5 linked regions of the Tribolium castaneum genome follow. The protein of the gene in region 2 binds, or shares a complex with, the protein of the main gene of each other region. Links are inferred from orthologs where the notes say so. Each region holds a gene or a part of one and is shown on either strand. Other genes may lie near its edges.

The links.
Region 1: mip130 (region 2) and protein lin-54 homolog share a complex: the UniProt entries of both Homo sapiens proteins name them as parts of the DREAM complex. The link is inferred for Tribolium castaneum from reciprocal best matches to the Homo sapiens genes LIN9 and LIN54.
Region 3: the proteins of mip130 (region 2) and mip40 are in contact, whole or in part, in a crystal structure (PDB 7N40), measured with the Homo sapiens proteins. The link is inferred for Tribolium castaneum from reciprocal best matches to the Homo sapiens genes LIN9 and LIN37. Residues at the interface, in NP_001353174.1 of Homo sapiens: Lys99, Ala101, Ser102, Gln103, Lys104, Ile105, Gly106, Arg108, Leu109, Arg110, Leu112, Leu113, Lys114, His119, Trp121, Cys122, Ile123, Glu125, Trp126, Phe127, Thr227, Leu237, Phe238, Leu272, Ser273, Asn274; in NP_061977.1 of Homo sapiens: Tyr95, Ile97, Leu99, Phe100, Asp101, Arg102, Val104, Leu106, Ala107, Phe109, Ser110, Glu111, Asn112, Thr113, Pro114, Leu115, Tyr116, Ile118, Cys119, Arg120, Trp122, Met123, Asn125.
Region 4: mip130 (region 2) and retinoblastoma-like protein 1 share a complex: the UniProt entries of both Homo sapiens proteins name them as parts of the DREAM complex. The link is inferred for Tribolium castaneum from reciprocal best matches to the Homo sapiens genes LIN9 and RBL1.
Region 5: the proteins of mip130 (region 2) and lin-52 are in contact, whole or in part, in a crystal structure (PDB 6C48), measured with the Homo sapiens proteins. The link is inferred for Tribolium castaneum from reciprocal best matches to the Homo sapiens genes LIN9 and LIN52. Residues at the interface, in NP_001353174.1 of Homo sapiens: Leu335, Gly336, Phe338, Phe342, Leu343, Ile344, Val346, Thr347, Leu349, Ser350, Lys351, Leu353, Met354, Lys356, Lys357, Ile360, Leu363, Arg364, Asn367, Thr368, Ala370, Glu371, Lys374, Ile382, Phe384, Gln385, Tyr388, Ala389, Val392, Leu395; in NP_001019845.2 of Homo sapiens: Asp61, Met64, Leu65, Leu68, Gly69, Leu71, Thr72, Thr73, Leu76, Met77, Val80, Leu83, Gln84, Leu86, Ala87, Leu90, Asp93, Glu94, Glu97, Met98, Arg100, Gly101, Leu104, Asn105, Ile106, Leu107, Glu108, Pro110.

The regions. Positions count from the first base shown.
Region 1 is NC_087399.1:5,897,620-5,904,416, reverse strand, and holds the start of protein lin-54 homolog, read right to left. Parts: upstream 4,339-6,797; 5' UTR 4,209-4,338; coding exon 4,190-4,208; intron 3,911-4,189; coding exon 3,755-3,910; intron 3,709-3,754; coding exon 2,795-3,708; intron 759-2,794; coding exon 1-758. UniProt on the Homo sapiens protein: Component of the DREAM complex, a multiprotein complex that can both act as a transcription activator or repressor depending on the context. In G0 phase, the complex binds to more than 800 promoters and is required for repression of E2F target genes.
Region 2 is NC_087402.1:5,410,415-5,417,103, reverse strand, and holds mip130 (protein lin-9 homolog), read right to left. Parts: upstream 3,775-6,689; 5' UTR 3,593-3,774; coding exon 3,574-3,592; exon of another isoform or gene 3,479-3,573; intron 3,437-3,478; exon of another isoform or gene 3,290-3,436; intron 3,248-3,289; coding exon 1,473-3,247; 3' UTR 1,275-1,472; downstream 1-1,274. Other genes in the region: nuclear pore complex protein Nup50, read left to right, coding at 1-118, 173-1,174; uncharacterized protein LOC103312737, read left to right, coding at 4,076-4,257, 4,373-4,605, 4,890-5,155, 5,203-5,371, 5,413-5,521, 5,566-5,804, 5,853-6,016; rtv (uncharacterized protein LOC103312675 precursor), read left to right, coding at 6,147-6,219, 6,282-6,452, 6,503-6,689. UniProt on the Homo sapiens protein: Acts as a tumor suppressor. Inhibits DNA synthesis. Its ability to inhibit oncogenic transformation is mediated through its association with RB1. Plays a role in the expression of genes required for the G1/S transition.
Region 3 is NC_087399.1:3,374,297-3,379,903, forward strand, and holds mip40 (protein lin-37 homolog), read right to left. Parts: upstream 2,715-5,607; 5' UTR 2,642-2,714; coding exon 2,463-2,641; intron 2,418-2,462; coding exon 2,244-2,417; intron 2,194-2,243; coding exon 2,031-2,193; intron 1,985-2,030; coding exon 1,836-1,984; intron 1,788-1,835; coding exon 1,766-1,787; 3' UTR 1,677-1,765; downstream 1-1,676. Other genes in the region: RE1-silencing transcription factor B, read right to left, coding at 671-1,396; uncharacterized protein LOC107398505, read left to right, coding at 4,473-4,544, 4,593-5,087; uncharacterized protein LOC103314014, read right to left, coding at 5,145-5,607.
Region 4 is NC_087396.1:19,755,420-19,762,197, reverse strand, and holds the start of retinoblastoma-like protein 1, read right to left. Parts: upstream 4,400-6,778; 5' UTR 3,982-4,399; coding exon 3,847-3,981; intron 3,801-3,846; coding exon 3,667-3,800; intron 3,617-3,666; coding exon 3,401-3,616; intron 3,348-3,400; coding exon 2,869-3,347; intron 2,757-2,868; coding exon 2,703-2,756; intron 2,651-2,702; coding exon 2,613-2,650; intron 2,568-2,612; coding exon 2,398-2,567; intron 2,348-2,397; coding exon 2,158-2,347; intron 2,107-2,157; coding exon 1,903-2,106; intron 844-1,902; coding exon 666-843; intron 616-665; coding exon 484-615; intron 432-483; coding exon 268-431; intron 14-267; coding exon 1-13. Other genes in the region: WD repeat-containing protein 64, read right to left, coding at 4,526-4,759, 4,810-4,966, 5,021-5,361, 5,420-5,611, 5,668-5,856, 5,906-6,064, 6,112-6,435, 6,485-6,778. UniProt on the Homo sapiens protein: Key regulator of entry into cell division. Directly involved in heterochromatin formation by maintaining overall chromatin structure and, in particular, that of constitutive heterochromatin by stabilizing histone methylation.
Region 5 is NC_087402.1:6,134,801-6,140,084, forward strand, and holds lin-52 (protein lin-52 homolog), read right to left. Parts: upstream 2,584-5,284; 5' UTR 2,470-2,583; coding exon 2,436-2,469; intron 2,243-2,435; coding exon 2,153-2,242; intron 2,102-2,152; coding exon 2,000-2,101; intron 1,947-1,999; coding exon 1,801-1,946; 3' UTR 1,554-1,800; downstream 1-1,553. Other genes in the region: probable protein phosphatase 2C T23F11.1, read left to right, coding at 3,116-3,734.

The sequences.
Region 1 (6,797 bases), on a different chromosome or scaffold from region 2:
ATCTTCCCTTGCAAATTATGCAACCCGTCTTCAATCGAGGCCCTCAGACTCTTCTTCTCCATCGAATCCTCGATATTTCTGCACCCCATGCATTTGCAGTTATTCGAACAGGCGATTTTGGCCTCGTAACACTCGCAGTAATTCTTCAAACAGCCCGACCGCTTGCAATTGCACCCCTTTGTGTGTTTCCTGATCGAACTGTCCCCGGCCACGTCTTTCGCTTTGCCGATCTTCGGCCTAAAAGCATTAGGGTTGCGTTCGAGACATGTCTTGATCGCCCTCTGTCTGTGATCCTCATTTTCCAAGTTGTTGAAGCAGTTCATGCAGTTGCACATGTAGCAGAATTCGCCGTTTGCGAAACAATCGCAGTACAATTTCAAACACTGGCTTTTGGTACAGTTGCACGGTTTTCGGGGTCTTATGCCGTTGGACTCGAGATTGGACTCGGGTGTCATTGTGATACTCTCTGCGGATATTTGTTTGGTGGCGGAGGTGTGGCGCATGGGGATCGGCACTTTGGCTTGGACGTACGTTGGCAACATCACCACTTGACTGCTGCTGACGGGGGCTTTTGCAGCAATGTTTTTCAACGGTTTGGGGGCGATAGTTGCGCCTTGGGACGCCGGTTTGAGTTCCGACAAGACAATGTTGGTTGGGGACGCTTGCATTGACGATTTTACGGTCGTGAGGGTGGAGGCTCCCGAGGAAAAGGGCGTGGTCTCGGCATTGGTGGCCGTCACAAACTTAATGTATTGCATCTGAAAAGGAGAAAATTAATTCAGTAAATTGAAACACAACGGCGTTTTTCGACCAAGTTCCGGGCTTATTTTGGAAAATACACGAAAAAAACAAATATATCATTTTATTCAAAATTTATTTTTTTGGGTCGTTTAAATGAAATAATTCGAAAACTGAGTTTTTAACAGGTGATACCATTTTCCAACTAAATTATTTTTGGACGGTTCTTTCGACGAAAATTTTTGAAATAAGTATATTACTAGCTGCAAAATGTACTGCAAGCACCAAAAAAAAGGCAGAAATAAAGTCATTATTTGAGATTAAGATGTACCTATTACGGGTACAAACACCCAAAAAAAAATATTGGTAAAAGGTGCTTGAACGCTCAAAAAATGCAAAAATGGCACAATTTTTAACATACTTTAAAACATTTTTCAATTTTAAATAAATGATAATTACACCGTTTTTGACATTATTTATTGTTTTTAGGTTAATATTTTACGAAAAATTTACGTTTTTGGCCGTAAAAGTCACTAATATTTCTTGAAAAGATAAAAATTTTATACTTTTTCACATAATTAGTGATATTTTTTGATCCATTTTAACAAAACCTCGCGAATAACTTGAGTTTTCAGCTCAAAAAGAACCAAAAATGGTCCAAATATAATCATTTTTCATAGAATTTAGCAATTTCTCGGTTTACTTTTATCTAGGTTCCGTAATCTTTTACATAATTTACCAGTTTACCGAAATCTCTTTCGAAAAAAATATAGAATTTTTAATTTAAAAACTGCTTAAACATTTGAAAATGACCAAAAATAACATTATTTTTGGTATAATTAGTAATTTTACAGCTTAGTTTGCAGTCTTCAAAGTAAAAGTTAAAACAAAAGCAATTGTATTCTTAAGAGTCCACTACAGTATTTTAATTTTTCTTTAACACTTATTATTGATGCACAGTAATTTTTTTTAAAGACCTTCTATTTAAAAAAACACTGAGAAAAATGGCTGAAATTCGGTGCTTTATAGCGTGGTATTCTCCTCCTTAATGAGTTAATGACATCGCTCTTATTAAAAAAAAATTCTAAATAGCAGTCTGGCTTTCTTAATTTGCTTTTTTGATCGAAAAATCGCGCGAAAAAATTCTTTTCATTAAAAAAAACATGAGAAACGTTCCCAAAAGGTAAAGATTGCATCTTTTCCGAACTAGTTTGGTCAATTTGGTGAATTTTGGTGCACTTTTTTTAATCACTTCCTTAAAATAATTATATTTTTTGCTAATAAATCGCAATAAAATGCTCGTAAAGTCAAGTTAATGCCATCAGAGAACTAACTTGGCGATTTTTTGGTCCAATCTAACAAAATTTAGTTAAAAATTTTGTGTTTAACGCTTAAAAGGGGCAACAATATTATCGTTTTTTTTTAGTTTATTTCTGATAAAACTCCTCTAAAAAGTTACAATTAGGTTCCTGGCTGGAAAGAGTATAAAACGCTCACAAAAAGCACAAAAACGCGTTCGCGTTTTGACTTTAGGAATTTTTTGTTCCAGTTTAACCAAAATCTCGCGATACGGTCTTTCTAAAGTCCTCAAAAAAAAAACGATGGAATTTTTTACCCACCTTATAGTGGCTTTTTGGGTTATTTGTAACGAAAGTCCTAGAAAGAATTGCGGTTCTGTCAGTAAAACCGATTAAAATGCTCCCAAAATGGCAAAGAAAAGTAAATTCTGATCTAATTTACTCATTTGATAGCTCAAGAAGTCTTTAGACGTTCGAAAAGGGAGAAAAACAATATCATTGTTCATATAATTCGGAGCTTTTTTGCTTACTTCTGATGATATTCCCCGAAATTATTCGTATCCTGGTTGTAAAAAATTCAAAAATAAAATTTTTCACATGATTCAGTGATTTTTCTTTACTACGAAACTCCTCAAAAAAACCTACTTAAACGCTTTAGAAATACAAAAATGCGATTTTCGAACCAATTTGATGATTTATCGACTAAGTTGGGCCCCAACTGGTCGAAATAATCAACTGATCCACCTTGAAAAACTCACCCCTTTCCCTGGAATATTAATCTGATGCAACTGTCCCGTGCTCAGCGCCTGCGTCCCTGCCACTTGTATAATTTGCGGCGAAGACAAAATCGTGTGCCCCGTCCCCGAACTCTTGAAAATAATCCTTTGGGGCACCTTCCCTCCAGTCGCCTGCGTAGCTGGAAGTATCTTCGTGGGCGACTTAATCTGACTCACGACCGTTTTCTGCCCCAACAACTGTCCTGGCGCCACTTGGGGCACAATTTTAATCGCCTTGGTGCCAGGATTATTCAAAACCATAGTACGCTTCGGTGTGGAAGTGGCCTGCGGGAGCACCTTGGTGGTGGTAATGAGCCCCATCTCCTGCGCTTGCTGAAGGGTTATAGTCTTGGCGGGGCTCGGAAGCGTGGTTTGCCCCGGCATTAGCTTGACTTGGTCGGCTTTCTGCACCACCATAATATGCCCCTGCTTGTTGGTGAACGTGGGGGTGGTCTTCGGGGGCGTTTTCTGCGTGGAGGTGACGATTTTCTTCATGACGACTTGCTTGGGCTGGACTAAGGTGGTGGTGACTGTTTTGACGGCGGGCTTGATGGCCACGGGGCGCCCCAAAGACACGTTGGCGAGGTTCAGCTCTTGGCCCCCGGATGAGACCAGTTTGATGGCTTGGTTGCCGCCAGTCCCCTGGAGGAGGAGGAGTTGTTGGCCGGGGGCCGGCTTCATGGCGATGGGGACCGCCTTGGCGGGTTTGGGGGCTATGGTCAGGGGGCGCAATGGGGGGATTGTGGAGGTTTTGATTTTGACGTCCGGGAGGATCTCCTCGGGGGAGGGGGCGCGTTCGGTTTCAATCTCAATCTCTTGGGCCCCTATTTCGGACTGCATGACGTCAGCGTCCACTTGACCGGTCTCCTCAACTGTCTCGATTATCACCTCTGGTTCTGAAACCTGTAGTTGAGGGCGATTTTGGGCAGAGGCCGGGCTTACCGTCGGTCTCCATGTCGTTTGAAAGGTGCAGCTCTTGGGACAGTTCCGCCAGTTGCTGGATGTCTGTGGAAGACAAACTCGTGAGGTTTGTCTCGGTCAGAGTGGCCCCATCGATGGTGAGAGTGTCCACGAGGGCCTCCACGTCTTCGTTGTTACCTGCAAGCGAGGCATTTTTGAATTCTGACCCCGGGAATTTCACACTTTTGGTTCAAATTGAAAAATTATTGACTCGTGTGTAAACCGCAATACCAGTTAAAGTGTGACTGGACGCGTCCATGGTGCTCGCAAATTCGCGCTAAGGCCCTAGGTTTGATTCAAATTTGGAGCCTCAAGTGAAAAGGACGCTTTTTAAAATCGCGCTCCTGGCGTGGAAAATTTGGCCACGAAACGACCCACAATTAAGAAGGAAGCCAGTGTCCAACGCAAATACACTACCTTTGTCACTGAAGGGCATAATTGCGCCCGATTTTACCGAATTTTCACAAAAATTAAAACTATTCAAAACACCATAGTCAAATTTGACATGTCACGTGACCAGGGAAGCGTTCAAACCACAGAACAGTAAGGGTTAAGAAGTGATAATTCCCTAGTAAATCACTGGCAACACGAGAATCCAGCGCCTCTGGTCCTGAAGTGCGTTACTACCACGGTAAAGCGCCACGTTTGAATAAATTCCTTTTATATTGTTTTTTATTATTTTTATCTTACAAGTTTCATTGCAAATTGTTTAAAATAAAAAAATATATTTTCATTTTAAACAAAGTGAAAACGTTTTATATTTATTTTAAACAAAATTTGCAATGAAACTTACAAAAAAAGTTGTTTTGGGGTAATAAAACACAGATTTTGTTAACATTTTTATTGTACACTTGAGTAACATAACAAATTAAATTTTTCAAAAAATTAAAGTATTGTATTATTTCTTAATTATACAAAAATTATCAAAAAATTAAATCAGTCAGTGTTGGCATGTTTTGCCTGTCTGCTCGAGACTTAAAACAAAATAAGGTCTGCTTTGCAATGACTTTTACCTTGTCTGTCAGCAAACAGTTGCCCACGCTACGACCACGAGGAGGTACAATTTTGAACTTACAGGATCCTCAATTTTGCAGGCATTCTTCCACAATTCTTGAAGCTTTGGATTCTTAGGGAAGGTGAAGAAATGCTTATTGGACTGTCCTTTGTTGGGAACATAACCACTGGTGCATCCGGGGTATTTGCAGGAATATTTGCGATAACCAGCCATGACTAAAGTTCGCTTGAGTAGTAGAAATCAAAAATCCGTCACTCCAGCCCAGAGACCAATGCCTTTAAAATAGAAAGAAACACCAATCAAAAAGATGAGGTTATATTAACAAAAGAAGAGATACTTATCTTTTTCGTCGGCGCTCAACACCAGGAATTGACTCACTAACGAACTGTAATCAGAATTTTTGCTTTGATTAAACGATTAAACAAATAATTACTACATACTTCCGGTAACACGTTGAACGATGAGTGACAAAACAACACTTTTGGCGCGATATTTTCGAAGCGATCTTTTTAGCGATCTGCGCGCAAGCCATAGAATATAGTAGTTATAGAAAATCAAGTAACACGTAATTCACTGGTCGTCAAAATTTCGATAATAGCGCCATATCTTGGTAGTATGAGGAACTAAAATTGGCGGCAAATTTAAATATTTTATTATTTATACAATTAATTTAATATTATAATTTTTTTACAATTTAAACACACATAACCGATTTTATTGAAAATCGGTTAAATGTGTTTAATTGCAAAATTTTGTTAGTATTATAAATATAAAGAAAAAATAAATACAATGAATGAAAATAATTTATTAATGAATTAACGTTTATAAGAAATAAATGTCGTGTTTGGCTTCCACATTTAATTTGGCAACTTTCTCACCCTCAAAACCGGTTATTTAACATTATTTTGAAACTTAGAAAAAAATTAAAGCACTAAGTAAGTAAATACGGACTCTAATAAGGTACCATTGGAGTTTTGGACATGTGCCCAATTCAATTTTCACAGAAAAGTAGTGCTTTTAATAGTATGTGCAAACATTTCTTGCATGTTTTCGTGTTGGTTGTAGACTCACGTAAATGACTTTACAACAAATTTACTTATATGAACTTATTATGAGTAAGAGGTTTTTCTGATTTTAATGTAAGGACTCCACTTTCGTGGATTCACCAGTCTTGAAACTTAACGGTAAAAAGGAGGGAGTTCAAGATACGTTTTTGTGGCTTTTATACAAATGAATGAATGAACGCGTGTATTAAATAAAAGACACTATGTGCAAGGTAGAAGTCTTAAACGGTGTCCATCATAGATGTCCACTCAAAAAATGAAATTTGGTTTAAATTCTCGAAGTTATTTTTGGTGCCCAAGTCGATTTGTTTCTGGATAACTTTCACAAGTAAAGAGATGCACTGTTTCCAGAATCATGTGTTCCAGCCAGCTAGAAGTTGTTTAATAAACGTTGTAGGTTGCCTTTTAAGTGTATAATAGGTCCATACCAGAGCTGGAGATATGTATTACATAGTATTTTTGGTGGCAAAAAAATCCCGACTTACCAAATTTTAGCCTTCGAAAGTTCAAAACTTAAATGTTTTTGAGATTACTTTAGGAGTAGATAACACCAACAAACGAATTCAAATAAGAATAAAAAGAGAAAACCACGAACACAACACGTAGCAGAATAATTCAAATTGGAAATTGAAACATTTAAAATTGAAAAAACTTTTTGACACCGTTGAATGTAGTGTGACATTGCGCGCCAAAGGTTGCTTAATATTTTGGATTTTTGGATAAATTCGTCGATTTAATTTGAAATCACACTACCAAAAGATGGCATAAGTAGTTTCTATTAACGACCGTGCTACGTACCCCAAATTTACAGAAATCTGCATAGATAACGCACGTGGCGCCGCATGTTGATAGTATGATTTAATAAACCGTTTCTCCTATGCCGCTTGACTAACCCTGGCGCAAGCGTAGATGTCATTGTTACGTCAAAAAATATAATTTAATGAAA
Region 2 (6,689 bases):
TTGGGATAGGGAGGACGAACCAGAGACGGCTGGAACGTTTACAAAAGCTTCAGATGAAGCTTTGAAGAACAGAGTTATAAAAGTTGCCCGCAGGAGGAACCCCATATCATCAGTCCAAGTCAGTACGGTTTCTAATGTGTGTTGTTTGATTACGAACAATTTTAATTTTTAGAGTGACGATAGCAAACCCAGCGCATTCGGTGGTTTTTCTGGGTTTGGTAAAACGCCAAGTAGTGCATCCAACACGTTTGGATTTTTGTCAAACTTAAATAAAACCGAGACTAGTAAAACCAACGGAACTACGGAAAAAGAAGCAGAGACTTCCGACAAGAAATTAGACGAATATTATGCCAAATTAAAAGGATTAAATGAAAGTGTCACTGAATGGATAAAAAAACACGTGTCATCAAACCCGTTTATCAACTTACAACCAATTTTCAAAGATTACGATAAATATATCAACGAACTTGAAAAGGCGAAAGGCGAGGCAGCGTCAGAAACATCAACTAGTGCCACAACTGCGCCCCAATTTTCCTTTGGTACAACCTCTACAACCACAACTCCTAAATTTTCATTTGGGGCCACTTCTACCGCATCCACAGGATTTTCATTTGGCTCCAGTACCACAACAGTTAGTTTCACTTCAAGCACTAGCACAGCTACCCTATCAGGAGGCGACAGCTCCTTTAAATCGCAACCGTTTTCGTTTGGTAATTCAGGCTCTGACAGCGGCAAATTTTCATTCACAAGCACTGTCATAAAACTAGCAGATGAGCCAAAGCCCCAAGAGCAAGAAGACGAAGACGAGCCGCCCAAAGTTGAGTTTACGCCAGTGGTAGAAGAGGGACACATTTATTCAATCAGATGCAAGGTTTTTGTGAAGAAGGATGGCACTTTTGGAGACCATGGCGTGGGCACTCTGTACCTCAAGCCAGTCCCAAACGGCGAGAAAGTCCAACTCATCGTGCGCGCTGATACGAATTTAGGAAAATTAATTTGTAATTTCATTTTGTCGGAAAGTATCCCAATGCAAAGGATGGGGAAAAAGGATGTTATGTTAGTTTGTATTCCAAATCCAGACACGCAACCTCCACCCGTGCCGATTTTATTGCGGGTGAAAAGTCCGGAAGATGCCGATGAGTTGTTGAAAACTTTGCAGAAACACAAAAAATAGGCTAGGGGTGATTAGCTCAATAAAATATTTTTCTAAGTAGACGTTTTTTTTTTCAAACCAATTTTGATAAAAATTTGAACAGTTCTAAAATTACATATGGTGCCTCATATATACATTTTTATTAATTACACAAGTAAAATATACACATTCTGTGAAATACCCACAAAAATACAGTAATTATAAATAAAACCCGCGGTAAACAGTAAGATAAAACGAGACGTGTAAATCGAAATTGTGGCCATTATAGTATTGCACAGCATTCTGCTTTAAAAACCTGCATTTTTAAAGAAAAAAAGTATCATAGTTTGGAAATTCCATTTATGGCGAGTTTTTTATCTAAATTTTGCCCGAGACCGACTTGAATGTGTTTCATGTGAATTTCGACGGAGTTCTGGAACACTAGTTGATTACTTGGCGTCAACTTCCTCTTGATTTGTTCCATCGTGCCTTGGAGCACTTGCAATTCGTATGCGTTTTGATCCGAATCGGCCAAACTTTTTACTTGCAACATCAAAGCCGTGAGATCGGTGATGAGTTCCAGAATCGATTTATTCTTAACTGGATCCTTGTCGGCCGAAATGATCGAATTCTGTCTTTGTACAATTTCAGCGGCCTCTTCTCGGCACTTTTCCCTCAAATGGCTTGGCGCCAGCATCGCCGCCACGCTCGGCTCAGGGGCGATTTCCTGGCAGAGCGCCTGAACATCATCCAGATACAGCTGCAAATCGTGATTTAACTTCTCAAGATCGATCAAAATGCAGGCGTAATTCCGCTGAAACTCTTCAGGAATCTCCGAATGAAACGAATTAAATTTCTCCGCCTTGGCGTTCATGCCCTTCAGTTCGCTGATTTTCGTCCTCTTGACGCTGAGGATTTTCGTGATTAAGACCATTTTTTCCAAAAGTTTGGTCGGGTATCCCCCTATCCGGCCCTCCTCCTGCGGGAAAATGGGCTTATTGATCATCGAACCCGACAGTAAGGGATCTTTCTTGAATTTTAGGTTTGTGTAAGGGGAGATTTTCGCCGCGTATGTTGTGATCCCGTTCCAGGGTCTGAACTTGTTCTGGAAGCTGGACAACGAGAGGGTTTCGGGTGGTTCGTTTGATAAAACTTCATAATCAGGCACAGAATGTGTGCCTAATCCCTGGCGCTCGAATGTTATTCTGTAGGTGTTGTTTGAGGTGTCCACAGCGTCAATGCTTCCGGTGAATAATCCGTCTTGTGGCTTTCTAAGCCTGGCTGTTACTTTTGTACCGATAACCAATTGCATGGGGATTTCAGGTGGCAAGTCTTTAAAACTCGAAAGTTCGGTGGCTTTCCTCTGTTGTAACGCTCTGATTTTTTTCCGTTTTTTCTCCAATTCTAATCTCTCCTCGTGAAAGAAAGCTTGAGAGCAACGTCGGGGTTTCCCCATCATTCTTCGAATTTTGGTCCATTGTACTCTCGTCAGCTCTCGTGTTTTTAACTCAGGAAACGACTCCTTTAGACAGATACTAAAATCATTTTCCCCCGAAAACAAACACCGGTCGATATCGCTGTAAAACCACTCGTAGCAGACCCATTTGTGTGCCTTGGGCAACTTGAGCACATTTCTCAATCTGAGTCCGATTTTCTGCCCGATTTTCCGATCGGGCGATTGAAGGGGCGGTGGTGAAATATTCCGAGGCGACTTGACGTCCCTCGGTGTGTTTCTCTTGGGCGTTTCTTTGAAACTTTTCGTGGGAGTGTTAACTTTGGGTTTTTTCACAGGCGTTTGCTTCATTTTTTTCGCAGAAGGTACCCTGTGATGTGGCGTGTTGACGATATCGTCGTCGTAAAACAGTTTATTTTTCTTCCTGATCCTTGCAGGCATACCACGGGCGTTTAGGACTTGCGTTGGTTGAGTGGGTGGCGGTTTAGGTGCAGCTGGAGCACCCACTCTCTGCAGGCCCAGAGCCGCGGGCCCCAACGTGGGGACATCATCGTCGACGTCCATCCCGGACTCGTCCTCCTCGTCCGTCACCTCCTGCTTGACAGTGACCCCCTGCTCGTTCGTCATTCTGCGCCCGTTTCTGAACCCTGAATCTGATTCACCTGGATTCAAATAAAAACAACAATGACTACATCGCCCCTTACATAAACTCGTTTTTATTAGTAGTCACGATCCACGCATTCCCATTTCGCTTTAGCAATATTGGGACGAAAATTCAAATTTTGAATTTGGTACAACAATATTTTCAAATTTAAAACATCGTTCCCACCAAAACATTCCATTATTTGCGGGTCTTACTGCGCTACCAGGGGGTAATAAAGGGGGCGACTTACTCGACAAAGGCCCAAAGATTAATTCTGGGGCAATTTTCACAACCAAAACACTCGAATTTCTCCGGAATTTATCAAACTAGACGCGTTTTACTTACTTTCAAGTTCGTCCGCCATATTGACGTCAAGTTAGGGAATTATGGGAGATTTACGCGGCATCATTGACGCGCCCTAAACACCAGACGCGATCTAATCACAATTTTCACTCAAACTTTCACAAAATTGGGACAAAGCCCTTCTGCCACCACCAGAACAGTAGTACAATTATCACACCGAAAGAATTAGGCTTGCTAATAATGCAGGACTTGAAATTAATTTTGTTTATTCTCCAATCATCTGATCAAAGATTGCGTCCTGGTAACAGCCCGCCACGAATTAAAAATAGCAACGCTTCAAATTTGGCTCGTTTTTGTGAAATGCACAGGGAAAAGCTTCTCTAGGGTTCGAACGGGACGCTGGAAATTGTCTCAAGCCTATTTTCACGTCGTGAAATTGACCTAACGATTTTTTTGAATTCGTAAAAATGAGACATTGCGCAAGTCACATCATGGCCCGCCTTGGAAACAATTGAAATACGAAATCGATGCATATTTATCAAAAATGATACTATCACTGATAAGGATTTTCCTGCTAATTTCTATTTTAAAAACAAGTTGTACGTTGGACGATATTTACAAAAATTGCAGGGACAGGGAGCGACTAATTGAACCTGAAAAAGGTGACCTCTACACATTAATTGATGCAACGCTTGATCAAAAGTTAACGTTGCAGTGCCATTATTGGTATGCTAATGCCTAATTTGTTATTAGTCGATAAAAGTAAGCTTTCATTTAATTACAATTCACGAGAGCTTGGCCAATTGCGAAAATGTTTCTCACAAGTTGCTTTTAAATATAGCGGCGAAAACGACGACGGGAGACCAAAAATTTGGTACAAAATCGGGGATATTGGAAGCCCTGCACCTTCCGAAGTGGATTTGGACATGAACAATAATTCTACATTGGCGAGAGTCCACGTAAACAAAGAGCACAGCTTGATTATTCATAATTTTACCGAAAATGACACGGGGCTGTATTACTGTGAGCGATACGAAGGAGAGCAGCAAGACAAGTACAATTATTTGGTCGATCGTAAGTCCAAACGTAAAATATAAACAATTTTATCGCCCCAATCTTCAGTCAAAAAATCCGCGTTTTTGCGAGTAGTCGCTACTAGTAATTAAAACTTACGAAAGCCAGCGAAAGCACACTTTGTACAGTTCACACTCACTTAAATTCGCTGTTAGAATTTTGCCGAAAACTCAATTTAAACACAGAAAAAAATTCCGCCTCTATAACCTCTACACATTTCATATTTTTTTGCGCGTTGTGTTGGCGTCCCTGACAACTCAGACGCGCCAAAGTTTCAATTTTAGTCATTTTCCACGATAACGTTACGACGCTGGAAACGGGCAATATCACAGTTTGGCGCAAATACCACGATGAATATTTCCTGCCAATCAATATGTTATTTAACCACTCGGAGGGTGTGGAATTCCGGCACATCCGCGAGCAATTACACGTTGAAATGGAAATGGTCACAATCTGGGGGCCGTGGGGCATTTGCCAGGTGTGTGGGCGCCCGAAAGACGAAGGGATTAGGAAAAAAGTCGGTTACTGCAGAATTAAATTAACACAAAAGGTTTTTTACGCCACATCCCCACAATTAAACTCAAATTATATCGATAGGGCAGTGCCTCATTGCAAAATAACACCGACTTACATTTTATCAAAAACGCAAACGAAATTGCCTGTCGCTCGAAAATTTTGGGCAGGATTTTGCCCGGTGTTAGCAACTTGACCCGAATTATACCGAATTTTGTGCAAACGGAGGCCTGCCAAGGGACTTGTAACCCCGGTAAAAATTTTACAGTGGACGGTTTGGTAAAATAGTAATAGATGCGGAGGGTTTTAGTAAGGGTTGGAAAGCGGGCAAAACTTCAGCGTTCAAGTATCGAAAAATTTTCGTCCTGGCTGAAGGCTCGCACTTAACTTTAGTGTGCCCGGAGTAAGTCGTCTCAATTAATTTCCGCTTAATTATTACACTTAAAGATCAACTCTGGAAAATAAAGTTGTTTGGAAGAAGAACGGTAAAGTTCTGGAAGCCGGAAAAAGCGTCACGCCCCCAAATCCAGAAGACGAACCCCGGATTATTGTCGATACTTTTAACACTTTGTATTTAGTCAGCGTCAAAGAATCGGAGGAAGGCAATTACACTTGTCAAGTGGATGATATCAGGATGCAACAGATAATTATTTTTACGATATCGAAAGCACGAATATTGACTCAAGGTTGTTGAAAAAATGTGGTCATAAGTCCTTATGTAACAATGATTTAAGCTTTTGTTCGCCATATGATGTATTTGGGATTAGTTTTATCTCTTACACTGCCCTGCTATTGTGCTGGGCTTGTAATAGTGTGTAGTAAAAAACGGACTTATAAAAATTACGAAGAACTGAAAGAGGAGGACGCCCGGAAACACCGATACCTGAAATTAACTTAAATACACAAATTTATGCAACCAACAATGCGTTTTATTTCTTGTGCGACTACCTACATAAATTCTCAAGGTATTCGCGATCGCCAAGAGAAAGTTTAGAGTGGAATGTCTCCTTCTGCAAGTTTGACGTAAAATGGGTCTGTTTAGATCAATTTTACTTAGTGTTTCATTCATCTTTCTCATTTTTACTCCAAAATTAACAAATGGTAAGTGCCGTATTCAAATTTTGTGTTTGTGCTCTTCCGAAGGAATCAATGAACCTTTGCAGGAATTCTCAAACGCTGTTTTGTATGCCGATCTCGGGGAGAGCTAGGAAGTTGTAAAGACCCGTTCACGGTAAATGTCACACAAATTGATTTGGAAAAAGGCGTAGAGGCAGTTCCGTGTGCCTCTGGCTGGTGTGGAAAACTACTAGAGACAGAAAATCCGCTAAAAGAAGGTACTCAATATAAAATAATTAAACACTTTTAAATGGAACGATACCGGTAGAATATGGGGTCGCGACAGAACGGATGTGTCTCAGAAGGGGGCCCTCCGACAGCGAAGACCGATGCGCCTACGTAAAATGGAATTTCAGAAGAGTCCTAATGTGCTTCTGCCGAGGAGACTTATGCAATGCCTCAAACAGACTGACAGTCAATTTGCCTGTTCTTCTCACCTCCTGTATCCTTACCAG
Region 3 (5,607 bases), on a different chromosome or scaffold from region 2:
TTCTAATGTCTTTATCCAATTATGCAAAAGTATTATTTGTTGGTTTTTAATTGTTGCATCATTCCATTGATAGGTCCACGAAATATGCATGCGTTTTTTACGGCAAGGCTTTGCAATAGTTTGAGGCACTTATTTGCTTGGAAATTTTGTATAGTTGAGATTATTGTAATATAATTATTCTTATAACGTGTAGATAGATCTGTATAATGCAAATAAATATTTTATGTGCAAATGTGCACGCACTTGTTTTTCTGCCAGTGCTACAATCCCACAATAAGTCCCAAAATATGAATTTGAAAAAAGGAAACGAGAAGTCAAAGGGGAGATTTTACCTGATCGCCACCGCAGGTTTCTTGTACTCGGGCACTTTGAAAAAAACATCTTCATAATAAATACGATCACCGAAAACCACTCCGCGCACGATCGCGAATGTAAAATAATCACCAAGGGCTCGAGAATTAATCGAAACACAAAAGGAAACAACTAGATTTTATACTTTTTTAGGTTACGTTAAAAAACTGACAAGCGGATTGTGATTGGTTGGCGTCGCCACGTGACCGGCTTCGGCCAATCACGCGCGTGAAATGAAACACAGCACATGCGACTTGAGTGTTTTATTTGATTTGAGGTAAAAAATACGAATAAATCCGGTTATTTATAAATCCCTAAACTAAAAAAACGAATGTTTGTGGCTGATGTGTCTGTCCAAATTGGACTTTTTGACCGTTCGATACTCGCACCTTTCACATTTGTACCAACTGAAGTTGAGTTTGGCATGTGTTAACGTATGCCTCGTAAATTCTTCGGATGTTTTGGTCACAAACTCGCACTTTTTACAATCAAATATCTTCAAGCCGTGTTTGTGTGCCCTGTGCCTCAGCAGATGGGGCTCCGTGATGAACACCTCCCCGCACTCTGTGCACTTGTTCTCGTGTGCTCCCTTCGTGTGTTTCGCCATATCGGCCTCCTGGGGGCACACGAACTCGCAGTGCTGGCACACATACCAGTTTAACTTGCCCAGTTGGGTGTGTTTGATGATGACGTGCTGGCGCAACTGCTCCTTGGTTTCGGTCTTGAAGTCGCACTGGTTGCAGGTGTGCCACTTGAGGGTCCCCAGACCCGTGTGTTGGCACAGGATGGGGTCCACGGTCTTGTCCACACAACGGTCGATATATGACGTGTCCATGCTGTTGAAAAACTCGATTCGTTTCTTGAGGGGGTCGAACCGGGGGGCTTCCGAGATGTAGTTGCGGATGGCTTCCATGTCCTGGGCGATTTGCTTGTCTAGGGTAGAGTTTATGGTGTAAAAACGGTTCTCTTCCTCGTCGAGCTCCGGGGCTTCGGGCTCGTCGTCGTCGTCAATAATGTAGGTCTCGATTTCGGTCGAGGTGGCCATTTTTACGATAATTACACTTTCACATAATTTTTCTAAATTGTTTGGGCTTAAAAACAGGTAAAAATTGTAGAAGTTAGGTTAGGACGACTGACAGCTGTCAACAATGTCAGTGCTCAAATTGTCAAAAAAAAACATTCAAAATATTTTAAAGATAAAAAAGGGGCCTGAGAGTCTCTAGGCTAATAAATACATTCATAATATGTGGATAAACATTTCGCTCGTTTGGGTTTGAATGGTCAGGTTGGCAAGAGAATTTCTCGGGGTGTATATTAAAACTGCATTTTGTTGTAAAATGGTTTATTAAATGCGTTGACAAAATCACTACTTTCATTACAACACACAATACAATAAAATTCCAAGTGTTAAAAACTATTCCATTGCTTCTTGTGCCCTGAAAAACAGAAAATTAAACTAGACGAAATTGTACGTGTTTTCGTACTTATTGTAAATAGTTTGGAGCATTTGCGTGCTCAAATGATACCGTTCCTCGTTTTTAACCGCAGTGTCAATCCACTTCTTCTTGACCTTGACCCACCTTTGCAGGTGATTCCTGATCAAGATATCTTTGGGAACAGGTGGACATTCCTCCTGTGATGAAACGATCAATTTTTAGTAATAAATTGTACCATCTTACATAATTCAAATTTATATTATCCTTGTTTTGTTCCGTTTGTTCAGGCAAAGGTGATGGGATTCTACTGACCACGGGACCTATAGGGGGCGGCAACCTGTGCAAGTCTGTGATCATGCTCGTATTCCAGTTAAATTCATTAGGTTCAGGTGACGATAATCGGCGCCTAAATAATTTGGTTTAAAATTGAGTTGGCAACAATGATTGCAAACTCACTTAACGATTGATTGCGGATTTCGGGGCTGGTTCTGCATCCAAGCCCTGCAAATGGGGTACAAGGGAGTGTCCTCCTCAAACCGGGCCAAATCTACGCTTCTGTCGAATAATTTCATAACGTAGGTGTGGCGGTAGGGGGTTAGGACAGAGTCGCCTTTACGTTTGCGATTTTCGCTACAAAAATTAGTGAAAAATTGGCCAAAAAAAAGTTTAAATTACTATTTGGAACTCCGTTCATCGGACGAGTCGCTGTCGGAGTCACTTTTCTCAGTTAGTTGCTTGAGGACGCCTTTGAGGCGGCCCTTGGCCATCAAGTAGTCATTGCCCAGGACGTTCTCCTCCTTCACTTCCACCTTAATTGAGCCCAAATTTGACGAAAACTTGCGTTTTTTGGTCATTTTGTTATTTTGAATTGTAACAGTCAATAATGAGGTTAAGGCAAGCGTCACTATGTGAGCACCAACAGAACCGCCTCAAATGTTACTGTTGTGTAACCAAAAAAAAAGCCAGAAGAGTGTGGAAGTTTTTCGATTTGTTGTGTAAAATAATAATATTACAATAGTGCTCCACTTTACTTTGAAAATAGGAAAAAAAAGAATTGTTTTTTGTGACTGAATCACCCACCGAAACAACTTTTTTAGTTGTTATGTTTGCCAGCTTGTCATTTTTAAGTCAAAAGTACCGAGTTTTTTATTATAAATCGTTTAATAGAGTTGTAAAAGCCAGATCTGCGTATGTGTAACGGTTTTTATATTTATTTCGTTTTAACACAGTTGTATTGTTTTGAATAAATTTTTAAATAACAAATAATTTTGTTTTATTTCAAACGCTCAAAATAAATAATTATGTGTTCTCATTTTCCTTATTTACTTGTAATTCCTTCAATTACTTTTTTATTGAGTGAATAATAGTCAACAATTTTATTTTTATTCGACAATCTCAACAAAATTAATGACACTCATGGAGCAAAAAATCTTCTGTTTGGTGGCAATGCGCCTCCAAACCGTCTGAAACCTGTACCTCCCCGGCCAGAAAGGCGTCTCAAAATGCAGCTCAAAGGGCCATCTTTTTACCGAGTAATTCCCCGCAGGGATGGGACATGTACCAGGCCGTTCCATCCCCATAACTTTGCCCAACCTAACCATTGAATCTTTGCTATACTTCATCAAAGTTTTACAAACATCTTTCTGGAAAGGAACACCTGGAAACGACTTCCAGCCGCCATCGACAAATCTTTCGATAAAATAAGTCCCTTCAGAGGTGTCATCCACCGCATGGGCGAAGGAAAATTCCATGGTAATGGCCCGATGGGTGCGGTTAAGCCGATCAATGCGGATAAGTTTCATGGGGATTTCAAGTTTATCATTATCAGGGCATAAGTAAGCGGATTCAAGGTCCGCAGTGAATCTGTTTACTAACTAAAATGTAAATGTTATAATTTGAAGAAAAAAATAGGTGGAAAAGTGTTACAAAACTGACGCTGACGGTGTTTCCAATAAATGAAAGTAGTAACAAGTTTTCGAGAAACATTGCGTGTTATTTGTAGACTGAAATTGGACGAAAAAATCATTACATGAGTCAAATATACGTCACAAAATGATTGTTTTTGCATATTTTGTCCTAAAAGAGTGTTAGATATCAATTAATCCACAAAATTTTTTGAAAAAAAAATATTTTTTTTGAATTTTTTTTATTTAATTTGACTTAAACAATCATTGACAAGACTTTTAAAAAAATTATTTCTAACACTTAATTGTCTCAAAATTATGATTGTTCTATTCATAATTGCAATATGTAACATTTTCCCGGCGCATCCACCATTTTTAATTGTCCTATAAATTCTTATAATAACTGTAGATTCAATTAGAAGCAACTCATCTAGTATCCACAAAAAAACCCTTACCTGTATTTTACAAATTACTTAAAAAGTAGTCAAACAACTGTAAATACAGCCAGTTTCAAAAATCCATTCGGAAAAATTTTCAGTAAAATGGTCAAGAATGACTGTTAGCAAAAATAAATTTTATTTTTTTATGATACAACAAAATCATTGTTATAGTAAATCATATGTTGTGTTTAAAATCTTTCATTGGTTGTTTGTCAAAAATTCATTTTTATCTCCAATCTCTCATCCGTTTTGTTGCGTATAATAATAACCTCTGGCATGAGCATATAATTGCAAACCTATAAATTAATTGTGTTTTTGTCAAAACTGGCACGAACTACGAAATGTCCTTCCAACTTTTGCGACCCATCCTCTGCTTAATTTTTTTCACCCCAAAAACCACAAACGGCAATTTCGTAAGCCCAATCACCCAATTACAAAAACACCTAAATTTTTTATTCCAGCTCACGAGTAAATTTAAAGCAGACTTGGAAACGGGTTATTTATGCCCTGATAACGACAAACTCGAAGTCCCTATCAGACTTTTCCGAATCGATCGTTTCAATCGCACCCATCGTGCCATCTCCATTGATTTTACATTCGCAAAGCCTTTGGACGAAACGGCAGAAGGTGCAATTTTCGTGGAAAAGTACACTGAAGGAGACTGGAAAATGCTACCGTCCTTGACGTGGCAGAAAGATCCGTGTAACAGTATCGGGATGAGATATGGGCGGGAGAGTATGATCAGGACTGGGAAAGCCCTAGGGTGGAAAAATCCAGACAAGTGCCCCATACCGGCCGGGAATTATTCCATGATAAGGCACCCCTTTATCACTTATCATGACACGCCCTTCTGGCCGGGACGGTTCAGGGTCCAGATGGTCATGAGGCGGATTGCCACCAAGAGGAAAATCTTCTGCACCATGACCATAATGAACTTTGTCGAAACCGTCAATTAATAATCACCAATAAATAATTATACGCTCACTTTATCTATTACTTTATTGTGTAACTAGTTAAACCCTCTCAACAACATTTAAAATAGTCATCACACAAAAAATCAACTGTTTTGTCGCAATCCTCCTTGACATGGCAATAGTCCTAATCCTCCCCGGCCAGAAGGGATAATCATACTTCAACTGAAAGGGAAACCTGACCACTGAATAATTCCCAGCCGGAATGGGGCACCGCTCTGGGTGTTTCAACCCCATGGCCTTCCCGAACCTTATATGCCCGTTTTTCTCGTGCTGTAGCTGGAAATTGCATGGGTCTTTCTGCCATGACCACATGGGAAAGCGTTTCCAACCGCCGGCGATCCAGCGCTCGACCACATGGACGCCTTCGGCGGTGTCGTCCAAGGGATGGGCGTACGAGAATTCCATGGTCATGGCGCGATGGGTGCGATTGATTCGGTCCACACGGAACAGTTTCATGGGTATTTCCAGTTGGTCGTTTTCTGGGCACAGATAACCAGCCTCC
Region 4 (6,778 bases), on a different chromosome or scaffold from region 2:
ATAAATTATAGAACTGAAATTACGAATGTGTCTTTAGTGGACATCTGTTAGTAGGGTAATATAAATTTTGTTAGCACTTGTGCACGGATTTATGGTCATTCTTTACCCATGACGACCGCATATAAAATTTTAACAATTCACGGAAAAAATAAAAGCGTTTAATTACTACACTGAAATAAACCCAATTCTAGAAAGTAGAGCAGATTTGTTTAACACTTGGATGCCATTAAACCGCAAAATTATAAATTTTAACGGGACTTTACTTACTTTCCTGAATACTATTGACACACCTCCTGTTCTTCTCGGCCTGGCTTGAGCTACATTCTCCTGACGTTGTGGAGTCGTCTGTTGAACTGGCACCGGGGTGCTCTTTTGCGTTTCACTATTTACGATAGGAATCATGCGAGTATTCCCAGTACGATCTTTAATCACTAAAAAACGCAAATTTTGATAAATGCGTTAATTTAGTTGATTAAAACTTACTCAAATGAGTCGTTTGGAGTAGAGATTGACCTGACTGAACTGTAGGAAACAATTCTCTATTCACAGCACTGCTGTGTGCTACTGGTGACTGAAACCGGTCTGTTGCAGAAGGGCCAGGCGATACAATTTGTCCTACAATTATTTTTGTAACAATCGTATAACATAAAAAATAGCAAAAATACTTGGTTCAGAATTGAGAATACTTCTCAAGGTTAAGTTTTCAGAACTTGGTTCATTTTGCATATGCCCTGGCAAAGCCGTCTCTTCGAATTTCGGTACTTCCCTATCGGAAGATGTTATTGCTTCCCAAATTAAACTGTCTGATTTCCAGACCAGCGAGGAAAGTATAGTTTCCTCGATCTAAAAACGACAGTTTCATACAAAACAGAGTAAAGGTGGAGAACAGAATGAGAAACAGAAACTGCTGACTAATTATAATAAATTATCAGTGATTGAAATAAATCATAATCCTTCTTCACTGTTTGCTTTATATGTAGAAGATATCTGAAGCTTTAAAACAAAATATTTACTCGTAAATTCGACAATTAAATATTCAAATAAAATACAGTTATGCATTTCTTATTATATGGCCCTTGAAAACTTTCAAAAATTGATTAAAAGAAGAGGATTTTTATAAAACCTGTCTACAAGATAGTGTAGAAAAATCAATTTGACCTAATTTCTTAATGATTTTTCAGTCCAGTTTATCAAAACGTCGCGAAAAACCTGACTATTGAGCTCAAAAATGTGTTTTATTTCTCGAAAAAGATTAAAATAATTGCGTTTCTTGATGAAAAACACGTTTAAACCCTTAAAAAAAGCAAAATAAATGACATTCTCAACCGACTTTGACGATTTTTCTGGCAGAGATTAGCGAAATTTAGCGAAGAAAATGAGTTTTTAGCTCAAACACGTACTTACCGCTTCAATTTAAAGATTTCGTCTTAAATTAAAAATTTGCTAACTAGAAAATATACTTAAACCATTTAACGTAATTTAATTTTTTAGTTCAAAAAAAACCAGACAATAACACCGTTTTCGAGCACAATAATTTAATTTCTTTAAACTTGCGCCAAAATTCTTTAAAATAATTGTGTCCTTACATATGCAAACCGTGTTAAAACCCTCTTAAATAGGAAATAAATGTCACTGCTAGTTTTTTTTCTGCCCCAGTTCAGCGTAATTTCACGAACAAATTTAGTTTCTAGCGCAAACACGTGTTTAAATGGCGAAAAATTACACTATTTTTGAACTAATTTCATAATTTCCGCTTTTTTTTAATTTGACGAACTAATTTTATTTAGAGGTGGAGAGTATATTGAAACATATTTTGGTCTATTTTTGAGAAAATTTTATGATTTTTTGCACAGTTTCACGAAATCTCAAATCAAAAAAACATCCCGACTGTAATGTTCTTACCATATTAAGGTGTTTGATAGTGTCCCTTGAAAGCTTATCTCTTGAGCGAATGATAAGTTCAATCACTTTAACAAAATTATATGGTTGTATTTGCAGTGCTTTCAATATCCAGGGGAACCTTTGCCGACTATTGTATGAATAAATAACAATTTCTAAACAACAAGCAAACATACATTCGTAAAATACGTCTTTTTCCACAATGGCCTAAAAAAACAATAAAAATACTACAGAACAAATAATAATTAAAAAACATACCGATAAATCAGCATGTATTGAGCGCTCATTCTGCAGAATACTTTCAATAAATTTATAAAACAAAGTTGTCGCGAGCTGCAGTCGCCTTTGTGCTACTTCTCTTTGGTCAACTGGGTGGCCTTCCAGAAACCTCTCCCCCAAATTTGTAACAATTTGATTGATTCTCTCAGTTGGATTGCGAGCACAAGACCTTAAAACATCATCATAGACACGTTCAACCACTCTGGGCGTCATAATTACTCAAACAATTGCACTAAAGCCTCACTGGGGGCCGGCTGGCGCCCATGAAGCAAGTTATTAAGCCTTGAAATGCTTTCAGTAGCTGTCACAAGCGGAGTCGACTCTTGCGACTCCTTCGGGCCCAAATATTTGCGGCCAGTGAGCGGCGTCAAACACTCTTTACTAACAACCTATTAACAAACGTAAAAAAAATACCACACACAAAAATAAAATACCATTTCTTTGGTCGATAACTCCGGACTTGCGTTGTCAGCTGAAATTGCAAAATTCAATTGTTTGATCATAGATTTCTCGATTCAAATTACCTGCATTTTGCGCCACACTCTGGTCTCTCACTAGAAGTTTTCTTTTGTACTCAGCTGGAATGAAACAGGTGTTAGGGCAAGGTCAGGAGCATCTGTTCAGGTAAGACAGTCAGCTGTTTGCGCAGCTGGCTCGCCATATGATTGGACTAGCTGTAAAATCACTCACCCAGGAAAATGCGCTCGTCAAAATCGCTCTTATTCAGGATATTTTTCTCGTACACGTTCCCAATGCTTTTGTAATTATGGTCAAACACCGAGGTGTCCAAGACATCGCCTTGGTCGTTCTCAATCAAGACGCCTTGGTCGAGATAATTCCGAATCGATTTTTTGAACTGGTACTCTTTTACGTACTTCAGGTCGGTGATTATGTTCGGACTGGGGCACAGTAAGCTGACGATGCAAGGGGCCTCCGAAGGGGGCACATAGCTGGGCTGGGCGAAGTCTTCAGGCAGGCCCGCAAAGTCGGGGTTTAGGAGATCCTTGCGGTCGGCTTGGAGCGCATGTTTGAACGCCCAGTCGCAAATGGCAATAAGTAAATGACACGACGTGACCAAGTCGTTGTTATAATTCGTGTCTTCACTTTTTATTGTGATAAACAAGGTCCAACAAAACTCGAAGACTTTGAGTGGGGACGAAGGCACAGGTCTAAAATATACAATTTCGTAGTTGAAATAAATTGGTTTAGAGAGACTTCTTACTTATTTTTCCGGTTTCTGTGTTTACTTGTGTCCAGTTCGTGCGCTTCTGGAGCTTTAGGTGCCTTAAATATTTGCATAAAGAGAGGCTGGTATTCTTTAAAAACGTTGTAAGCCACAGAGAAGCTCCCTTCCAGATACTCAATCCGCTTTTTGAACTCCTCAGGCATGCTGGCCATGTCCGACCATTGTTTGATTTTGTAAAAGAACTGTGCTATGCTGTAACCATGCGTTAAAAATAACCCAAAGACTGTTTGTTGTTGGCTGACCTTAAGTTACAATGACGCAGAAGATTGGTCAAGTTAACACAATTCGTGTGAACACTATTTTGTGCAGCCGTTGCAGCGATGGACTTCCAACACGACACGTATATTGCACACCCTATCCAGTGGAGGGGCTCCCCCTGAAAATCCCGATAGTTTGCAGTGATTTAAGGGGTTGAGACTCACCTCCAGAGTGAAATTCTTGTTAATTGTCTCAAATCGCTCCCAAGCGTCTCTGGAAATCTGTTGGCTCAGGTGCAGTTTGTTGCACAGTTCTGAGTGTTTCTCCTCCAATTCTTCGGTTTCGCTTGATAACACCATGATTTCCAACAATTACAAACCGCTGCTAAACAATTTCGCACCACTAGCCACCATTGAGCTCTTGACAACGCCTACAAAAGGCGGGAATCCACACAAGAGACGACTAAAAAACAACACAATCACGCTCAAACCCCGACTTTCCCGCTTTGCACATTATTTTCGACGAGGAAATGCCGCTAAAATCCAAAATATTTCGGCGTTTACGCGCGAATACGTACACAGTTTTTTGTCGATCAGCCAGAACTACTTTTGACTGCGCATGGAGGGTAACCTCAAACCCAAATTTGGAAAGTTACCAGTAACTTTATAATCGAAGCACTTTGCAAGTTTTTAGCCACACTTTAATTAATTAGGACACTATGTGCCAATACAGCTGCTGTGGGCACGAAAAGGGGAGAGAAATGGGCTTTCCCGCCAATTCTTAGCGCCAAACACAAACACCGTTTAGGGAAGTTTCGCATTAGTGGAAGCTTCACCTGCTGGCTTGGGGACGCGCGCAAGATGAATTTTAATTTTTATTACAAAAATTTTTATTACAGTGATACTAGTCAAATTCAATAACACTGCTTCGTGAGGACCGTGGCGAGCGGCTGGAGGAGGGTTCCGAAAATACCAAGTCCTTGTAACTGGCGTCTTGTAAAACTTTCTCGATTTTTTCCACAATATTTTTCGTTTTCTTTTTGTCAGGGACGGGCAAGTTTGGTGTTAGGTATAGGTCGCTCACTTCGGGTAGCTCCAGGGCTAAATAGGGAGCACCGCGTGCAACGTTTTCTCGCATCTAAATATTATTTGTTGACATAAATAAAATCAATTCATTGCTATACATGCCTGCACTTTTTTTCGCTCTAATGTCGCAATTTTGAAATTGATATCGCTCTTACTTGAGCCATCATTTGCAAACAGGTCTTTTTTTAGAATAAATTCCAACTCTTTTATTTTTTCTTTGAGAAATTTGTCATCAATTGCTTCTTCAAACTGTTCTTCTCTGTAATAGCGTTAACAATTTAATAAAAAACGAGGTTTAGAAAAAAAATCATACTTATTTATTGTTTCGGGACTATCAGACGTTCTCCACATTTTTGGAATCAAAACACTATTTTGTAGAGGAGGTGGAGGCAAAACTTGCGATTCAACAATTTTCTGTATTTCGTTGCTCTGATTTACTATTTTAATAACAGCGATGTGATTGCAACAAGTGATTAACAGTGGTGATCTTTCAAAAAGTTCGATCTCAATCTCATTAAAGGAAGTGCGTTTAGGGCCGGGATAAATGCATTCAATTCCCCATTCAATTAATTTTCCAAACACTTTAAAAGACGGGAAACTGATAGAAAAACTTTGAATGCACTTTTGTTTTTCCAAATCCCATAATTTAAACATCTACAACAATTATACAAAAATTAGTAAATAGAATTAAATGCAAAATAGAAAAATATACTGCATCAGCTGAACAACTAATAAGTAAATTTAGTTTATCCAATATTTTAACGTCCATAATCGGTGCTTGATGTCCTTTCAAAATTGCGATTGGTTTTGAGGTAATAATAGGGTTCCACAATCTCAGAACAGAATTTTCGCTTCCTGTGGCTAGTATCTTACGTATTCTGCTTAATGCAAAACAGTTACAACCCTAGCGGTTTAATAAATAAATATGACAACTTTCGTAACAGTGACTGTGTTACTTACTTTTTGTATCTTGAAAATGTACGGCTTGTTTTTATTTCCGATATAATGTATTAATATTGACACATTTGAGTCTTTGCTGCAAGAAATAAGAGTTTCATTATCATTAAAATATACAAGCCATTTGACACTCTCTTGATGTAGACGCCCGTTACGTTTAACAACAACGTAATCACTTTCATCTGGTAACTCCTGCAAAATTATCTAATCTGTTTGTACAGTGACAAAAAATCGGACGTACATCCCAGTAGAATAAATTAATTCTGTCGTTGTGTTTTTTCCTCAAAAGTGCTGCTTTGGGCTGCAAAAATGTAAAAGAAAAAACCGTGCCTTTGTCATCTCCCATAAAAAGCGTACTTTGGCCATTTTCGTCACAAATGCTGCTTTTGTAAGCAAAGCACTAAAATAGTTTCAATTAGACCGTAACTACTGTAGGAAAATACATACTTGAACAATGTTAGGTGTACTCAAAACAAGATACAGTGGCACGTGTTTAAGTCCGGAAGCTTCATAAATTACCACACTCCGTGCCGTATTAGTGGCAATAAACATTAAAACATCAGCGCAAAAAATTGCGTCAGTGACCCACCGGTTCCTCCGTCTTCGGTCTTCTTCCTTCCGATGAATATCCTCTCGGGTCATTATCAACTGATATGTTGTTAAAAAATTAAGATTGCCATCATATAAACCGACTCTGCCGTGTTTGGATATCATAGCGTAGCAAAAATATTTTTCGGTTTCTATTCGCACAATTTTAATTATCGTTTCTCTCTGTAATATAGTTGTTAGGTACACCAAGAAAAAATAATAATATCAGTACCTTAGTCTGAGGAATGGCAATAATGCTCGATACTTGGAAATTGATAGTTTGGTGATCCGCAGGCATTAAATTTTGTAAAAAAAATTCCACAAATTTACTCCAAGTAATTTGTGGTTCCCCATTTTTTGCGATTTGCTCGTATAATGCAATGCTCGCTTGCGAATACTCCGTATTGGCGAAAATGGCGTTAACAGTGTTAAAAAACTCTTCTTTTGTGAGGGTTTTATCGTCGTTTTTGTTTTGAAACTCATTTTGCATCACGTCCAAGTGAGGAACCGTGAGGTTTTGAATTAA
Region 5 (5,284 bases), about 720 kb from region 2:
TTCGGGACGGAATGGCGGATGAGCGCCCAAAATGGGCCGAAGAAGGTGGTGTAGTTTTGAGATAATTGGGTCCGAGCGTAGGTTTTATATTTATGCGAAATGGACCTAGATGGTTGTAGCAATTCCATTAAATAAATAATGTTGTAATGATCAGTGTAACATTTTATTGACATTATTACGGTAAACAAATTTAGTAATTGATGTTACGACACTATTTTATATCTTTACTTCGACTTTCTTTGTGAAATTTTTAAGCGTATTGGACAGTTTTTTTTTTGGATATAATGCAGGAAATGAGAGTTTGTAAAAGGACGAAGCTATTGAATCTGATTGAGATTTTGTAGGCCCATTACAAGGTCAGGATATAAAATATGGAAACGGCATTATTGAAGCTAAAGCATTGATTCAAGCCAGAGTAAAGTTACAAAAGTTCAGGCCGTTTTTAAAACGAAGCGAGGACATAATTCACATCAAACAGCAGTCAAAATATTTTTTTTCAACAACATGAAGGGAACTAACAATTTTTATAAGTGTTCAATGTAATTCAATGAAAATAAGTAGTGACTTTTGGTTTTTAATTAAAATTAAAGCGTTTTTCTTCAAGAGTGGATTGTTGGTTGCAGCCATTCTACGCGAAAAAACATTTTCTTCGCAAACTTTGAAAATTTATTACAATATTCAAAATAGTCCCCGAAGAGTGAATCAGTTATTACCGGAAAGAAGGAAAATAGTGAAAATAATGAATAAAAATTTTGCAAAATGCTTTTACAGAAAAGTTGTTGTACTTGTGCTTGTACACGCCCTTTATAAACGATCAAACACCCTTTTTAATGTAAATGTTTGACACGAAAAGTTTATTTTTGCCCAATAGACATTTCAATAAATCACACTAAAGTTTATGTCGTTGACTCAAGGAAGATTTGTCTACCCTTAAACCTACTCAATAATAATTAATAACGCTCTAAAAGAGCAGAAACGGACACAAAATTCATAAAAGTAAAAATTTTTACATTTTCAAACTACAAACAGTAGCCAACGCAGAAACCATATGAAGGTAGGTGCATCTTATTTAACGCCAAGTAAAAAATATTTGATTTATGTGTTGTTTTTTTTTCATAAATAATTCCTTTATTTTCTAATAATCATTGTTTACCTCATCCTTAATTCCTTTTTTCCTGGCAAGAATGTTCTAAACCTTCTTCTGGTTCTTGCTGGACAAATGAGTTATTAATTTGACTAATTAGAGCAATCCTTAAATACGAGTTTTTTAACGCAATTTGCAAAATCGAGAAATTTTATAAAAATTAAAAAAATGTTAAGGTCCTAAGGAATGTTTGTCCGAACATGATTTTTTACAGTTGAAGGCCCTATTAGAGAGCTTAATCTCCTGCAAAAATAATTATCAATTTACATTCCACCGGATATTTTTAATCTAGGAAGCTGCTGGGTTCAGTAATAATAATAATAATAATAATAATAATAATGCATCACCTCATTATTGTTTTGGTGAGCTAACGGGGAACAAAATTTTAATTGTAGAAAATGAAGACACCTTTTACAAAACCAAATTTATTTTCGATTTTTATTATACAAACGAAACTTCAGCAGTGCAATATAATACATAAATCCTTTTGAAGCACTTGCTTAATAATACATTACAAAAATGATTTTCTCCAGGAAATTAACGTACAATCACTTCTTTAAACTTAAACTTATAATCCTATGTACAAATATATTTCCCCTGCTCTTTTTATAACTTCCACGTTATTTGGAACCTCTACTTAGGTAACAAATTGCAAATCATTTCTGCTTCTGCCTGGGCTTAAAAACATTTAAGTATTTCCCCCTTGTGACTTCTTTCGATTCCTCAACACCCAACTGATATGCAATATCATGCAACTCCTTGACTTTAGAAATCAGTCCAGCTGTTGGAAGAGCTGCTAATTCTACAAAAACCACACTCTTCTCTACAATCACACAAAAACTAATCCAAACTTACGGTGCAGATAATTCTGGTCATCCTGACTCAATTCCTTCGAGTAAGGCAGTTTTACGGCACTTGGTGGCGTGAAACTGTTTACAAAATCTGTCATTCCTGGATCTGAAACCCTATTATTGCCCTAATCCCACAAACATGTGCAACGCTACTTACACTTCTCTGGCCAAATTTCTGGAGAGGCTCTATCCAGATTTTCCATACTCATTAAGGTCTGCTCTAGATCGCTCAAAGATTGATCTTGCTCTAGGAAATGCAACAAATCAATTATATTTTGACAGATTGACATAAGCCACTCTGTTTAAAATGCGAACTTGTCCACGCACGCTAGCCGACAATTTCGCGTAAACTGTCCATGCAAGGCCTCAACAATCGTTTAATAATTAAATTGAGCCAAAAGTAACATTTACAGGGTGATTTTTTATTAAAAATGCTTTACCTTGTTCAATGCTCCCGGGTTTCTCGGACGCCATCTTGCAATTGTGCCAACTGCAGCAAACGTAATCAAAAGGCTGCGCTTTTAGGGGGACTTTGAAAGCGGCAAAGAAACACTATACAGAACGAGCAAAAGTCGCAAATGACCCTAATTGGGTGTCAACCCCGATTCACTTGCCCCCAATTTCGTAAAAGTTTGGTTTTTAAATTTGGCTGGTGTATTAAGTGTCGCAATGTTGGCGCTTCCCTCGCCAAGATTGTAAAATCAAATCGTAATTTAATTAGTAATAAGTAACAACGAATTTATTGTCAATAGTTTTTATTTGAAGAACGTGCCGCACATTTTTATTGTTTAGGACATAAAAAAGTTTTCGGCCTTGTGCACAGGCGATGACGCACTCAGCCGGCCGCGTCCCAGCTCGACATTCAAACGTCAAGTTTCTCTTTTTTCGAAGAGTTCTCTCCCGATTAACCTAAATATTGCGTTCCATATCTCGTGACACACAACAGCAAAAAGCGGTGTTAATTAGCGTACGCAAAATATGCGATTCGATTTAGCACAAGTATGCTAAATAAAACCCATCCAAAGAGCAGAGTTCAATTTTGAGTAAGTAGCGACGGTTTTTTCCCGCTTGCCTCGTGTTTTTGCGCTTTTTGCGGACTTATCGCCCTTTCAGGGGTACTATGGGTCAAACTTTGTCCGAACCGGTGACTGCCAAGAACACAGCATGCTGCCAAAACGCCAATTTCCAAGTGGGCTCAAGTTCGATGCAGGGCTGGCGCATCAACATGGAGGACTCCCATACGCACATCTTGTCCCTGCCGGACGACCCCGAGGCCGCGTTTTTCGCGGTCTACGACGGGCATGGGGGCTCCAAGATCTCGGAGTACGCGGGCAAGCACCTGCACAAGTTTATCACGAACCGGGAGGAGTACAAGAACGGCCAGATCGAGGAGGGGCTGAAGCAGGCCTTCTTGGAGATCGACCGGGTCATGCTGGAGGATGAGTCGTTGAGAAACGAGCAGTCGGGCTCCACAGCCGTCACTATTATTATCAAAAATGGCACGTTGTACTGCGCCAACGTGGGGGACTCTAGAGCTGTGGCGAGCATTGGGGGCAAGGCGGAGCCGCTTTCGAACGACCACAAGCCGAACAACAAGGAGGAGTACGACAGGATCGTAGCGGCGGGAGGGTTTGTTGATTACAACAGGGTTAACGGGAACTTGGCCCTTTCCAGGGCCCTCGGTGATTTTATTTTCAAAAGAAACGAGGATAAACCCCAGGAGGAACAAATCGTTACAGGTAAGTCTGGAAATTGCGAGCTAATCTTGTTTAAACACTGTCAATATTTATGTTAGTCTTTTATGAATTGTGTATATTTAGATCAAGTGAGTAATTGGGTACTTAGGTAAATAATTACATCAGTTGATGGATGGTCCCATTTGATTCAAAGGGTGTGTTATTTTTAAAGTTACGTTGTCAGCATATGTTACGAATTAAGTAATCTGGCGGTGTTCCACTTGTGTCATTCATTAATTAAAAATATTTACAATTGTTATTAATAGGCGACCACCACTAAGTGATTAAAAGACTAACTTATCGCCTCGTATAACGTCACAAAGTGTGCATTATCTGAACTACGTCAGGTTGTTAACACACCGACATCCGAAGAAAAACATTCGTGATATCACTTGACGCAATTTTTTCTTGTATTACATCTGTTGTAATAGTTTTTTCTTTATTTAGTCCGTTGACCTGCTTGATAGGTAAATGCTAGTCAAGTAAACATTAATTTGTCGCGTTTGTGATAAAACTTCGATAGGTCAAACATGAAACGGCCGCACGCGATTATGTCTTTGTTTGTAAAGAGTAAAATAAGGAAGAAAATACACGGAAAAAGTGGCTACGTTAAAAATAAATCATTTAATAGTACAGTCCAGAATTAGAATTATTATTTAGCGAACGTTGACACTACAAAGTGATCGATATCTTCTTAAAAAATTAGCATTGCTAATATTAAGAAAACCGCAACACCTGAATTTTAAGTAGTAAAACCCGAAATTCCAAATAAATAAAATTCCCTAACCGCTTGAGTAATTTTACGTTTTGCGGTTCCGGCCTAAAATCAAGGTTAAAATTCAAAATTAATTCAATGGACCACTATTAAAAAGTGCCGATTCAGTGGCGGCTCGTGAATTCAACATCAAAGCTAAATTTTGTTTAACCATGAAAAATCACCTAATTAGGGGAAACTGGGGTAAAATGACCCCTCCAAAAAGCAAGAAAACTAGTAGTGCGATCATGGTTCCGATTTAGAAGATTATAATCTTTTACCAAAGGTCTAAAAATTTAGCACATCATAATCCTTCTCTTAGATGGATCATTTTACTCCACCCTCCTCTACATTGAAAAATATTTTGAATAAAAAACTCACTCATTTTTGACGAATTTCCTTCCGTGCGGGAAAGTGATGTTATTTTGATTCAATTTTATCTCTTTCCCTAAGATTAACTCGTTTTATGTGTGAAAAAGTAAAACAATTTGCCAAATTTTCCTTAAAAATAAAGTCACCTTGATAATTAGTTAAGCTAAAAAACTCACTTTTAGGGAGTAATTTTAATCAAACGCGCCGAAAAATCACTATTAATATAAATTTACGTTATTTTCACCTTTTTATTTTAGTATTTTAGTCCGTCTTGAGGCAAAAATTCACTTTCTTTGGATAAATTCGCTAGAACAGGCCAATAAAAGACAAATGAAGGTCGAAAATTATATTAGTTTGGTTTTGTTTGTTCGATTTCGCTTGTTTTTGATCAAGAAACGGAAAATTAGGACGGTTTTCTGGCTTGTGA